Caenorhabditis elegans: one gene and its partner. The protein of the gene in region 1 purifies or fractionates together with the protein of each later gene. This does not show direct contact. Each region holds a gene or a part of one and is shown on either strand. Other genes may lie near its edges.

The links.
Region 2: the proteins of scd-2 (region 1) and fsn-1 purify together in Caenorhabditis elegans (affinity purification with western blotting, with the first as the bait; one study listed by BioGRID). This does not show direct contact.

What each region holds. Positions count from the first base shown.
Region 1 is NC_003283.11:6,631,387-6,639,227, forward strand, and holds the start of scd-2 (ALK tyrosine kinase receptor homolog scd-2), read left to right. Parts: upstream 1-1,838; 5' UTR 1,839-1,882; coding exon 1,883-2,050; intron 2,051-2,095; coding exon 2,096-2,153; intron 2,154-2,551; coding exon 2,552-2,731; intron 2,732-2,785; coding exon 2,786-2,890; intron 2,891-2,936; coding exon 2,937-3,028; intron 3,029-3,072; coding exon 3,073-3,200; intron 3,201-3,246; coding exon 3,247-3,392; intron 3,393-3,529; coding exon 3,530-3,667; intron 3,668-3,709; coding exon 3,710-4,044; intron 4,045-4,099; coding exon 4,100-4,233; intron 4,234-4,278; coding exon 4,279-4,424; intron 4,425-4,466; coding exon 4,467-4,717; intron 4,718-4,999; coding exon 5,000-5,570; intron 5,571-5,618; coding exon 5,619-5,738; intron 5,739-5,826; coding exon 5,827-5,943; intron 5,944-5,992; coding exon 5,993-6,141; intron 6,142-6,194; coding exon 6,195-6,436; intron 6,437-6,486; coding exon 6,487-6,613; intron 6,614-6,663; coding exon 6,664-6,866; intron 6,867-6,985; and 3 more. UniProt on the Caenorhabditis elegans protein: Probable tyrosine-protein kinase receptor which regulates the dauer/non-dauer developmental decision probably by controlling daf-3 transcriptional activity in parallel or together with the TGF-beta pathway.
Region 2 is NC_003281.10:4,935,522-4,940,184, forward strand, and holds fsn-1 (F-box/SPRY domain-containing protein 1), read left to right. Parts: upstream 1-1,800; 5' UTR 1,801-1,839; coding exon 1,840-1,926; intron 1,927-2,065; coding exon 2,066-2,279; intron 2,280-2,328; coding exon 2,329-2,692; intron 2,693-2,744; coding exon 2,745-2,892; intron 2,893-3,431; coding exon 3,432-3,617; 3' UTR 3,618-3,932; downstream 3,933-4,663. Other genes in the region: mrps-18C (Large ribosomal subunit protein uL3m), read left to right, coding at 57-247, 294-682, 760-887, 1,001-1,165, 1,211-1,549; rpb-2 (DNA-directed RNA polymerase II subunit RPB2), read left to right, coding at 4,081-4,215, 4,259-4,663. UniProt on the Caenorhabditis elegans protein: Component of a SCF (SKP1-CUL1-F-box protein) E3 ubiquitin ligase complex which is required for the restriction and/or maturation of synapses in GABAergic neuromuscular junction (NMJ) presynaptic neurons.

The DNA of each region.
Region 1 (7,841 bases):
TTCTGATGTTGAAGCCGACAATTTGAGGCCAAACATCTTACATTCGACAGTAAATATTTGGGGATTAAGACTTATGTTTTGGTAGTTTTTAGGCAAGGTAGTATGCATCTTAGAAAACTCTCAGGCGATGTTTATTCATTTTGTCTAAATATTTCCAGATCCGCAGAACCATTAATGGAGTAGAGCCATCAAATTCATATCTTTATATTTCAGTGCATAGTATAACTCTATCTTTCTTTCAACTAAAGCTTTGAACTGTGCACCCTAGATGTGGAGAGTCTAATTTAAGCGGAACAGGGTTTGATGTTCGAATCACGAAAGCGACCGTTCGCGATCAGCACCGATTGAGAGTCGCGGTGCGCGCATTGAGCTCACTTTTAGTGGCTCTTCTTATTTTTCTTTTTTTCTCACGTCATGAGTATTCCTTTCAGTAGTACTCATTGCAAGTCTAGTCTTGAATCCTCTCAGTCTCCCTATTTTTTTCGTCTGCAATTTTCCCCTTTTTTGTCTAGTTTGTTCATCTTTTCCTCCGTCACCAGACTGACCAGCTCATGCCCACATCTTCTGATATATTTGTTTTCTATCCCTATCTCTCTGTCTTTTTCTCTGTCCCTTTCTTCATATGTTAATACACTTCATATGTTTTTCTCTCTTTTTCTCCTGTCAGTGAAAGCCAAAAGTGCGTGGCGTGGGCTCGGGGAGCTGAAACGAAATGAGTGGCGAACCGGTGTGAGCGTGCCGTGTGAGCTTTTGTTGCTGCTCCTTCTATCCCTATCCATTTTGGTGTTAATGCCATGGAGAGAATGTTTGCATGATATATTCCGCGGAAATTGGGAATTGGCACCGCGGATCAAAAATTAGAAGACTTTTGAGAATGAGAATAAGAAGAGTAAGAAATGGGTTAAGAGCGGCGGCGACGACGACGACGGCGGAATTTTCTCCTCTCGACGAATTAATTAGAGATGGGAGCAGGAGAAGAGGGTGAGCAGAGACTTTGTGCTTTTTTCCTTTCCTTCAAAGATTCTCTTTTCTGCAACTTTTTTCGCTGTTTCTCTTAAGAAGTCTACCTTCTCTATCCGTTGTCTTCGCCGTCCGTCAAATGTCATGTCTATACCGAATTAGTCGGGTGAACAGCAGGTGGTTTTGTCACCGCCCCGTGTTTTTTCCCGATGGCAAATTTAGATTGAATTCATGAAGCCTGATTTATTTTGTGCAAATAAAGTCTCGTTTCAGGCATCTTTATATGTATTTGGAATATTTTTTTTATTCTAATTTATTCCGTTCCTGTTGTTACTTTCCGAGAAATTATATAGATTTACCTCAACAACTGAAACGTTTTTTTTCAATTGCGAAACTCAAAGTAGGTGGACCAGAATTAATTAAAACTCACCTCCCTCAATAGTTTGAATAATTTGATGAATTGTTCTTGTTGTTTCTGATGATTACTTACTGATTTCCAAAACGCTTGCAAAAATACTTGAGTGAAACCAAAATTAAATGAAACTTTATAGAAAACTCCTGCAACTTAAATCGGGCATTTGTGAAAAGTTGTCAAAAACTGTAAGAAGAAAATATTAAAAGTAATGAATGGACACGACATGTTGCTCAACTTTTACTTAATTTTATGTGGCAGCGAGCCCACAATTTCCTAACAATTTTTTGACAAACGTTTTCCTTTTTTCTCCAGTTCATAAGCGTTCTTCACGATCTTCTATCTTCTCCCAGTAATCCGCCTCTTCTTGCTCCACTAATCTTTCCGAATATTTCATATCCCGTGTCTCTTGCTCCCCCCACCCTTCTCCTCCTCTTCACGCTTTTTTTTTTGATACATTTCCCATTTTTAGATGTCACTTCATTTCCATTAAAGTAGCGAACCAGTAAGATGCGTAAACGAAGACTATGGTGGTTTGTAGTCCTTTTTCGTGTCACACTGGTTGGTGCCATTTTGCCAAATGAGACGTTCGATGTGAGACGATACTATGCGGATCGATTCCTTATTGAGGATGAAGAAAATGGATCTTCAAGATCATATTATATTTCCGCAGAATCAGTAAGCTGAGTAGTTAGTGAGTAAATCTAAATTAACCTCTTTCAGAAAGCAAAAGCTGCAGAGCAATTCGCACTACTAGCACCCAATTGTTCATTAACTAGCGGTAAGTTTTTTTTTCTGTTGTAAGATCTACTTTCAGAAATCGTGAAAAAACAATTAATTGGACAATAAAATTAAAACTTTTTTCATTCACTTTTTTTTTCATTTAACTAACTTTTTACTACTTTGAATTTTGAATAAAACGTAGTATTTACATAATTGGCAGTGACAGACATTTTCAACAAAAAACCAGATTTCAATCGACATAAAGACAGATAAAATAACTTTAAAGCTTAACAAACTCAAAAAAATTCAGTTAAAAACATTAAATTGAGACTAAACGGAAATGATATCTACATATTATTGGAAGTTTCAAATTTGATGGCAAATGGTTTATGTTTCAGTTTTTTATCCTTGCTAGACTATGTTCTATGTAGTTCCTTAAGAAAATGCTATTTTCAGACATTCAAGAAAACACTTGCAATGAGACAAGCTCATTTTGCGATCATCGAGTTGATTCGACTTACAAAACATATCATTATGAGCAAGAAAAATGCAACTGTTTCATAGAAACTTGTGACGAAGAGACCAACTCGACAGAATTAATGGTCTTGTATCCAGACTGTTATTGTGGAAAACGAGGTAAAAATAAAACTTACAAACTATACATATGATTGGAACGCAACTGTTTTTCAGAGAAACATTGCGATCTGAGCAAAGAAAAGTGCCATTGGACTCCAGATAGTGATCATGATGATTTAAAATTTGAAGTTTTTGAGTCATCTAATAAGGTCCTTTTTGGTGAGTTAATTAAATAATGTCGCCGATAAATTCTAATTTTGTATAGATTATATGCTGCAAGCTGGTTCAGAAAAGGCAAATCTCAAAATGAACAAGGTTTCGATGGTTAGCAAGTTTTTTAGGCAAAGTGGTTTCAACGTAAGTTGACTTGAATCGTTAAATACCAGAAACTGAGATTTCAGTGTTCGTTACGATTTATGCATCACTTCACTCATCAATCCTCAACATCTCGACTTGTCGTAAGATCCATTTTGCAATCTGGGGAAAAGAAAAACCTATACGAGCACTGGCTGAAACCAGCCAGCGTATTGTGAGTAAAATGAAGAAGGGACAAACCAAAAGTATTTCTCTTTCAGTTGGGTGCCGGTCCAGGTTGCGATTGGATCTTACGCAGAACCATTTAAAATTTCAATAGATTGTGAGACTGGATTTCCACCAAAGAAGAAGAAAAATAAGCCATTCACATGCAGTATAGCAGACATCTACTTTGAAAACTGTGGTGGTGAGTAGTTGAAAAAACTTGCAGCTCATAACTGTGATAAAAAATAACATTTTAATTACAAGTTAGACAAAAAAAACCGGTAGAAAATATTTCGCCTCTCAACAATTATTTAAAAAATCGAAGACAACTTTTTTTAGAGATTCGAGACCCGATTGAGCAATGTTCTCGTGGTGATCAATTTCTATGCTCTATATCTGCTAACACACGGTGCCTCCAAAATGCTCAATGTGATTCACGAATTGATTGTGACGATGAATCTGATGAAATGGACTGCGGTACTTTTATAATTTTTGATTGAGAATAATCACCTTTTTTAGGAAATATTAATGGGACAATGTGCGACTTTAATGGTCAGGATTACTGTAACTCTTGGTACCAAGTTACAAATGTTACTGATTACCATGAAAGACTATCCGAACCAACTACAGTTGCCCCTTTAAACAAATTGAATGAAGTACCTCTACATCTATTCCGCCTGCAATCGCCGTCAGCGAAAATCAAGGAGGCTATGCGAGGATCAGGGAATATGCTGGTTTTTGATCACAAGCCAAACCCTTTGACTAGAAGAACATCAGCTTTAGTCTCACCAGAACTACCAAGAACAAATCCAGAAGCATATGATGAGAAAAGTCCATTGTTTAAGTCGTGTAAAGTAAGTTTCAATTCGTTTAAAAAATTCTTAAAATTTGTGCACATTACTAATTTAGCTTCGATTCTACCTTTGTTCGCGAACATACTCAAAAGTATGGCAAATATCTGTAATATCAAAAGGAATCAATCCGATGGAAAGTGGAAGAACAATAATTTATGAAGCAGGATATACTTTGATCCCAAAAGAAAAGTGAGTTTTCTCATACTATTATTCTGTTAGCAAAATTAATTTCAGTTGTACCTGGGAAAGAGTATTTGTGAATATACCAAGACAAAATGCAGGATTTCGTATTGGAATATTTGTGACAAATTATTTCCCTGGTTCCGAAGAGTATGTGGCAATCGATAATCTATCCTTCAGTCCTACCTGTTTTGAAAGAGGTTTGCAATAGGGATCCTGACTGTTCTAAAGAAATATTTTAGATATTAATCAGTCAACTTGGGACATCCCCGATCTTTTCATTAATACATGTGGAGCTTCTGGGTTTGAGCAACCACAAAACTGCGATCACAATCGAGAACTTGATGGTCAAACCGGTCATTTTCTGAAAGAAGACGGAACTCAGCAATGGACAGTTCCTGTTACAGGATTTTATAGGATGGAAATATGTGGAGCTGGTGGTGGTTCAAACTCAAAAGCATCGGGAGACACTGGAGATTGTGTCACACTTCAGGTTAGTTATTCAAACGTTTCAATTAGCATTTTAAGCATTTTCAGTTCATAAAGTAATTTTAGAAGGTACGAGTATTCCCGAGTATCTTCGAAAAATGTTAGTCATATCACAAACCAATTGGGGAACAAATTTCTATATTTACTGACATTACATATAATTTCGTTAAATCAAGTTCAAAAAGCAAAAAAAAATGGTTGAACAATTGTCCTGATCTTTTTGAACTTATGACATGTTTAAAATAAGAAAAAGTTAAAATGAGACCGTGAAATAATAATATTTCAGGTTCACCTGATCGAAAATCTCTCCCTGCGTATGCTAATTGGTCAAATGGGAGAAAGTCCATGCTTCACGGAGCACGATGATGAGCTTCGACCTTCTTCATGCTCAAAAATCAGCCACAACTACGTGTATGATGGAAAACGAGGGGCTGCTGGTGGCGGAGCAACTCTGCTAACCGTTGAAAAAGATTTGTGGAATGTTGTGGCTGGCGGTGGAGCTGGAGCATCATGGGATGGTTTTGACATGGAAGTCGGTTATGGAGCATCCGCAATTCATGTCAAGCCAGATCAAAGGTGTAATGAAACATGTAAAGCCGTGTCGCATACTGATTTTATCGTTGAACGACGCGATAATCGATGTCCCGGCGAAAAAGGTGAAAGCACAGTGTTCGGAGGATTCGGTGGAGGTGGGAACTCATGTGGAATGCTCGGTGGCAGTGGTGCAGGATATCAAGCAGGAAATCCGTTTGGGAAGAGTAGAGCGAGAAGTGGATCAAGTAATGTGTCCATTGACTTTTCAAAATCGCCCATTTACTATCAATCCGAAAGACTTGACGAAGGTTATATCAAAATTGGTAGGCAACAATTACTTTGAAGCACAGTTTAAAAACTTTTTTATTCAGCATTTTGCCGCAAACGTTGTGAACCTCCAACAGTGTGTAGGTTCCGAAAAGATTACTTTGAAGAAGAGTACTGTGGCTGTCCTGATGGATCAAATGTCACTGACACTGAGGAAGCTTGTGGTAAGAACAGTTGAACTTTCATCATTTTTTTGAAATTTGATTCTTCAACAAACTAGTTTTGAAAACAATAAAATAACGCCCATTTAAGCTTTTCCTCTGGTATGCCCTTCATCATCGACAAACCAGTACCGCAATTTTACCTACGAACCATTTTGTCTTTGCAACAACGGGAAGGAAATTTATGACGTGTACAACGATACTTGCGGTTAGCTTGTTCAACATTTCAAAGTGGCTCACTAAATCTTACTTTGTAGAAGAAATCCAAATTTGGACCTTGTACAACATTACGTTTTTGATCTTCGCGGCCCTAACGATCATTGGTGCCTTGTTCGTTGTTTATCACTACCGTAACCGCGAGAAGCAGATGAAACAGGAAATCTTAGATCTCACCCAAATGAAATCAGTAAGCAGCGGATTACCACTAGACCGGAATCTTATGATTTTCATTTCTTCCAGCCGGATTACCTTTACGATGACATCTATTTCGGTCGAACGACCAGAAAAGCTGCTCTCGACTCTTTACCATCAATATCAAGAGATTCGATTGAAAGGGGAAGAGTGCTGGGAAGAGGAAACTTTGGTGAAGTTTACTACGGGGAATATAGTGGTGTCAAGCTCGCAGTAAAAATGATTTCAAGGACGTTCTCAGCCAGCCAAGCGTCGCAGTCAGATTTCTGCAACGAAGCGCTTTGTATGGGGTAGGAAACATGTCTTCTTGTTAATTTCTTAATTTATCTCCCTACTTTAGAACATTCGTGGATGAGAATGTAGTTCGTCTGATTGGAATTGACTTCGAGAAGGTCCCATATATGATTGCACTTGAGTACATGGAAGGTGGCGATTTACTATCTTTTGTGAAGGAGTGCCGTCCCAACGTAAGTTTTCATGCATATATTTAAATCAAAAAAGTTGTTTTTTTTTCCAGCAAGTATCACTAAATCCATTCCAATTGGCAATGAGTGACTTAATTAAAATATGTTGTGACGTGGCAGCGGGTTGTAAATGCCTGGAAACATTTGGATATGTTCACAGAGATATCGCAGCACGAAATATTTTACTCACAACAAGAGGACCGCAAAGAGTTGCAAAAATTGCTGATTTCGGAATGGCAAAAGAGATTACATATGGGTAAGTGGGTTATTAGAAGCCAATACTCTAATCTATTCAAAAATTATATTTCTAATGTATTCAGATCCTAATTGGATTAACTTTCAGCAAATCAGTGCATTTAAACATAAATATTTCAGGACTGAATACTACCGGATAAATGGGCGAACAATGATGCCAATAAAATGGACTCCACCTGAAGCATTCATCGACGGTGTCTTCACAACAAAGTCTGACATATGGAGCTTTGGAGTTCTATGCTGGGAAGTATTTTCTCTTGGAGTTGTCCCATATCCAAACCGACGTAACGAAGAGGTGATGCTCATGCTGACAGAAGGTGCTCGTCTAGAATATCCATATGGTATTCCCACAAGAGTCTATCAATTGATGCGTGACTGTTGGAAGACTGCTGCGGCTGATCGACCAAAGTTTGTGGATGTCGTCGAGATTTTCCAAGACATTCAAGATGATCCGGCCTCTGTTGGCATGCCTTTCCCAATTCATCCAGCCGTTCGAGCAACATTTGCACATTCGCAATCCACGCCAGTCTCCGTGGAGACACCAATGACCGCAATGACTGAAATCTCACTGAACAGTACATTTACAGATGCTTCTACGGTGAAAGTATCTGCACAACAAGACATGCAGGATAGAATCCAACGTGAGTAGTAATTCAGAAAATAAAAACTATAAAATTTGTTAAAACACAAAAATTGCAAGAAGCGATAGTTTAAAAGTTAACCGGAATTTTTAAAAATAACAAACCAATGTTTTCAATTGTTCAAAATTTTGAAATTTCAGTGCACGAACTGATGCTAACTCGTGAGCATCCATACACTTCGGAGCTCACATCATATGTTGTAAATAGTATTCGAAAAGATCTCGCAAGAGTCCAATATGAGAATGGATTGACATCGGTTCCACAACCAGAGTACCTTTCACCGGAAAACAACGACGAATCCGTTCAATTGATTCCTCAAAGTAACACTGTTACTG
Region 2 (4,663 bases), on another chromosome or scaffold:
TTATTCTAGAATTTCATGATCAATTATATCTCACTAATATTTAATCTTAATTACAGATGCTCCGTTCACTGGTATCCAGTGTGACGACGGGTCCGACTCCAGAATGGGCCGGGAGAATTCTAATGGCCTTCAGTGGACATATCAGTCAGCAGAGAGGTCGCAGAAGAACATTGACCCCAGCTCCATGGCTTCCGCCAGTCAAAGAGAGTGTGCCGAAAAGCAGTGTGGGTATTAGCCAGGGGACAAAGTAAGTTGCATTAATTCTTACCTGTTTAGCAAACGTTTTTGTTCAGAAATCTGCTTGAAACCGTAATTGAGAAAGAAACTCTTGCGGCGTCCACCATTGCATTTCAAAATTCTCAAGAAACCAATGTCTCAGTTGTTGACATTCCAGATTCATCAAGACGTGTGGGTCTGGTTGTCCGCAAAATCGGAATGCTCCCACAATGGACAAATGAAGGAAACCGAATTCTGTGCACTGTGCTTGAAGTTGATGAAAATCATGTTGTCAGTATTACATCACCAGAGGCTTGGTATAAATCGTCAGCCGTCGGAAAAAGAAAGGCTTTCAATCGTCACGGTCCTATGTGGAGAGTTACAGTGGGTGCCGGAAATGATGATCCAACAAAATACACGCTTGGGTACCGTAGGCAATTTGTTCGCGCAGGAATTCCAGTGAAAGGTTGGGTTTTTTTTGTGTTTTGCTCCGCTTTTCGATAGTCCTTCACCGTAAATTCATGGTTAAAAAAATAAATTCAGAGAAACTCGGATGTTTCCTGGTAACAGAAGACGCTCTCCCCAGTGCTGGACAGCCACTTGATGCCCGTCACTTCGGAGTTGGTCAATATGTAACTGCTACTGGAAAAACTATTGACTGGGGATTCCAGGTAATTTTTTTCAATTTACAATAGTCTAAAACTTCCAAAATTTCCCTTGCAAGCCAAGGAGCAAAATAATCTCTCAACCCTTGCGAAATATTTTCGAAACTAGTCGTTTTCAGGGTGGAATGCATCGATGGGGAATGCGTGGACAACCGACAAGACGTACCACAAAATCACATCGTAGAATTGGTTCCGTTGGTTCAGTCGGCGATGCTCGAATTTGGCCAGGAAAACGTATGCCGGGACATATGGGTTATGAGTGGAGGACTGTTTCTGGTTTGGAAGTAAGAAATTGCTCTCGATTTTAATTTTCAATTCATTTATTTAAGATTGTTCGAATCAATGTAGATAAACAAGTAATTTATGTGAAAGGAAGTGTACCTGGTGATATTGGAGAAACAATTCTACTTAAAGATTGCTTACAAGAAGAAAAACGTCTGAAATCCGGCCCAATGCCAACATGGGCTCCATCACTAGAAACCATCGAAGAAGAACCGGAGACAGAACCCGAAGAAGGCACAATTCCCAAAAATCTTCTTTTCAACGAAAAATTCTCGCCCAAACTGTTCCGTTTCACATCTCCATCCATTTTATTCACTGATGCCGACGCCAAGAAGGCCACTGGAAGAGATAAAACGAAAGCTAAGATTGCAAAAGTTAAAAAGTAATGGTGTATCTAATTTTATGATATATTACGGTTTTCCTTTATCGTTTTTTGTCGAAATTCGGTTTATTAGAATTTTTGTTCCGTAGATTTATAGATTTTTCATTGTTTTGCATTGTTTTTGTTTGTTCTGAATACCAAAAAGCAGAGTTTATATTCAATTATTTGTTGATTTTTTTCCAAACCGGTCGTTTACCGAGATTTACTTTATTTCTTAACATTATGCATTCTGAAACTTGGATTCTCAATTTGAAGCGAATGACAAGACTGTGGTGAGCTGGTTAATCGAGAAGTATGGCTGAAAACGACGGGGAAACGATTGTTCCAGACGAACAGTGCAATTTGACGGCCTCAACGCCTATGAAAAGTAGTGGGTTGGAAGTGAGTTGCTTTCTTTTTTCAAAATACTGTTTTTGAAACTTGAATTTTTCAAACTTCAAAGCTAGACAATATTTTTAAAAAATTGTTTATGAAAACAAGCTATAAAATAATAAAAAAGGGAAATATATTAAATTTTCAGCAAGTGGAAAGCCCGAAAGAACGAAAAACTTCAATGGTGGAATGTGATGACGAAGGGAATCCATCATCAGGAACCCCAGATGAATCACCAAAACAATTGACTCCGCATAGCATTCCCCCAAGACGACGACGTTCTCCACGACGCCCGGAAGTGTCAGCTTCTAGACTTCCTCTGAAAGTACTGAATCAGATTTTTCAGTATTTACCATTGAAAGGTAAACATATAACATTTTCCCCCTTGAAGTTACATGGCTCTGTTTTCAGACCTACGATCTGCAATGCTAACCTGTCATAGTTGGAATAACGCTCTTTCAATGGAAGACAGTGACATATGGCAGTACCTTCTTGGCAAGAAGCTTCCAGAAGCAGCAGTTTCCGATCCCTTCCTGCTCGCCGAGCTGGGATCTGCAAAAAAGAAGCTGAGAGCCTGGTATTTTGCCTGGAATACGAGCGATATTTCAAGAAATAACTACATCCGTACCAACGGTTTCACTGTTCACCGGCAGCCAGTTGCTCAGTCAACAGACGGTGTCCGTGGAAAACGAGGGATTTCAAAAGGAGTACACGCATTTGATATAACTTGGGATGGACCGTTGGGAACTGTAGCCGTTGTTGGTATTGCTACTAAGTGAGTAGTTAATTTATTTGAAAATTTAAAGATATATCTTTAACATTTTCAGACATGCTGCTCTTCACTGTGTTGGCTATGTTGCTCTCCTCGGATCAGATGATCAATCATGGGGATGGAATCTTGTAGATAATGTTTTGATGCACAATGGAGCACAGCTTGGTGTTTATCCAAAAATGAACAATCCTCCGAAATATGAGGTATTTCACTAAAAAAATTCAGTTATAAGCCGATGCAAGCAAATATATTTCGTTCTAGGACGAAACAACGGTATTGGGCCACAATTTTACAAAATACGACGTTCTTGTTTTATAAAGTTGTTTAATATGTGAAAAAGTTCAATTTTTCATCTCTAACAATTTAAGAAACATGAACGTCATGGTAAAATCGCATGACGAGTTTTTTTTGAGTTGTCGAGAAATTTCCAATAATTAACTTTTTCTGTATATCTGCATTGTGAAAAGTGCTAGAAATTCAAACCATTTTTTTTATTTCCTCGGCTAGAATTCACAATATTCAAACTTCGATAAATTGAAACAATTATTTTCCATTCACTAAAACTGTACAGAAAAGAAAAATTATATTTTTTAACAAAGTGAAATTTTAAAAATTTAGAACAAGTTTTTTTGTTGTTTTTTTTTTTTAATATTTAACTTCCTGAAAAATTATATTTTGAAATAATGGTTTAAAATCTTCGAATAAACTAATTAGTTAAAAACTGAAATAATCCTTTTTCCAGGTCGGCGATAAAATCCGCCTAATAATCGACTGTGACACCCATGTCGCTTACTTTGAACGAAACTCGGAATTTCTCGGAATCGCATTCAACCATATTCCCCCATTACGTCTCTATCCGGCTGTCTGTGCGGTTTATGGCAACACAGAAGTGACAATGGTGTATGTTGGAAGTCCACAAATGGGTTGAAGACGTTCGCTAGAGCGTATATTCTGACTTCTGCGCGCGTATTTATTCGCCACTCAAAATGTAATTATTCACATGTTTTCATCGCTTGTCTCATATTTCTACTGTTATTATAATTTTCAGAAAAATATGAAAATTATTTAATTCTGATATTAAACTTTACCTGTAATTAAAACACTCATAATAGATCTTTTTCCCGCACGCTTTCCTCTCACACACTTTCTCATTCCCATATTGATCTCTTTTATTGCTTATCGAGCTTTTCTAGTCACTTCGTGATAATTGGTCCATTTCTCAATGAAGCTTTTTCGTCGCTTTATAATAATATTATATGCTTTTTAAATTGTTTATTCGGTTTTTTCTTTGTAAAAATCCGCTAAATACCTATAGTTTTTCTTGAATTCTTTTTTCCTAATCATCAACTTTTTCAGCCTCATATCAGAATCACTGTACGTCGCCGGCAAAAATGATGTACGATGATGAGGATGAGATGGTTAATGACCCGATGGACGGAGACTATATCGATGATTCGGATGAAATCAGTGCAGAAGCATGGCAAGAAGCATGTTGGGTTGTTATCAGTGCTTATTTCGATGAAAAGGTATTTTTGATTATAAAATCATGAAAGAATCTCTTTTTTGAAGGGTCTCGTTCGTCAACAACTTGATTCCTTCGATGAATTCGTCCAAATGAATGTGCAGCGAATTGTTGAGGATTCTCCGCCAGTCGAACTTCAATCAGAAAATCAGCATCTTGGCACAGATATGGAAAATCCTGCGAAATTCTCATTGAAATTCAATCAAATTTACCTCTCGAAACCAACTCACTGGGAGAAAGACGGAGCACCAATGCCAATGATGCCTAACGAAGCTCGTCTCCGAAATTTGACATACGCCTCGCCACTTTACGTAGATATCACTAAAGTGGTGACAAGAGACGATTCAGCAACGGAAAAAGTGTACGACAAAGTGTTCGTTGGAAAAGTTCCAGTTATGCTACGGTCTAGTTACTGTATGCTTTCCAATATGACAGATCGTGATCTAACAGAA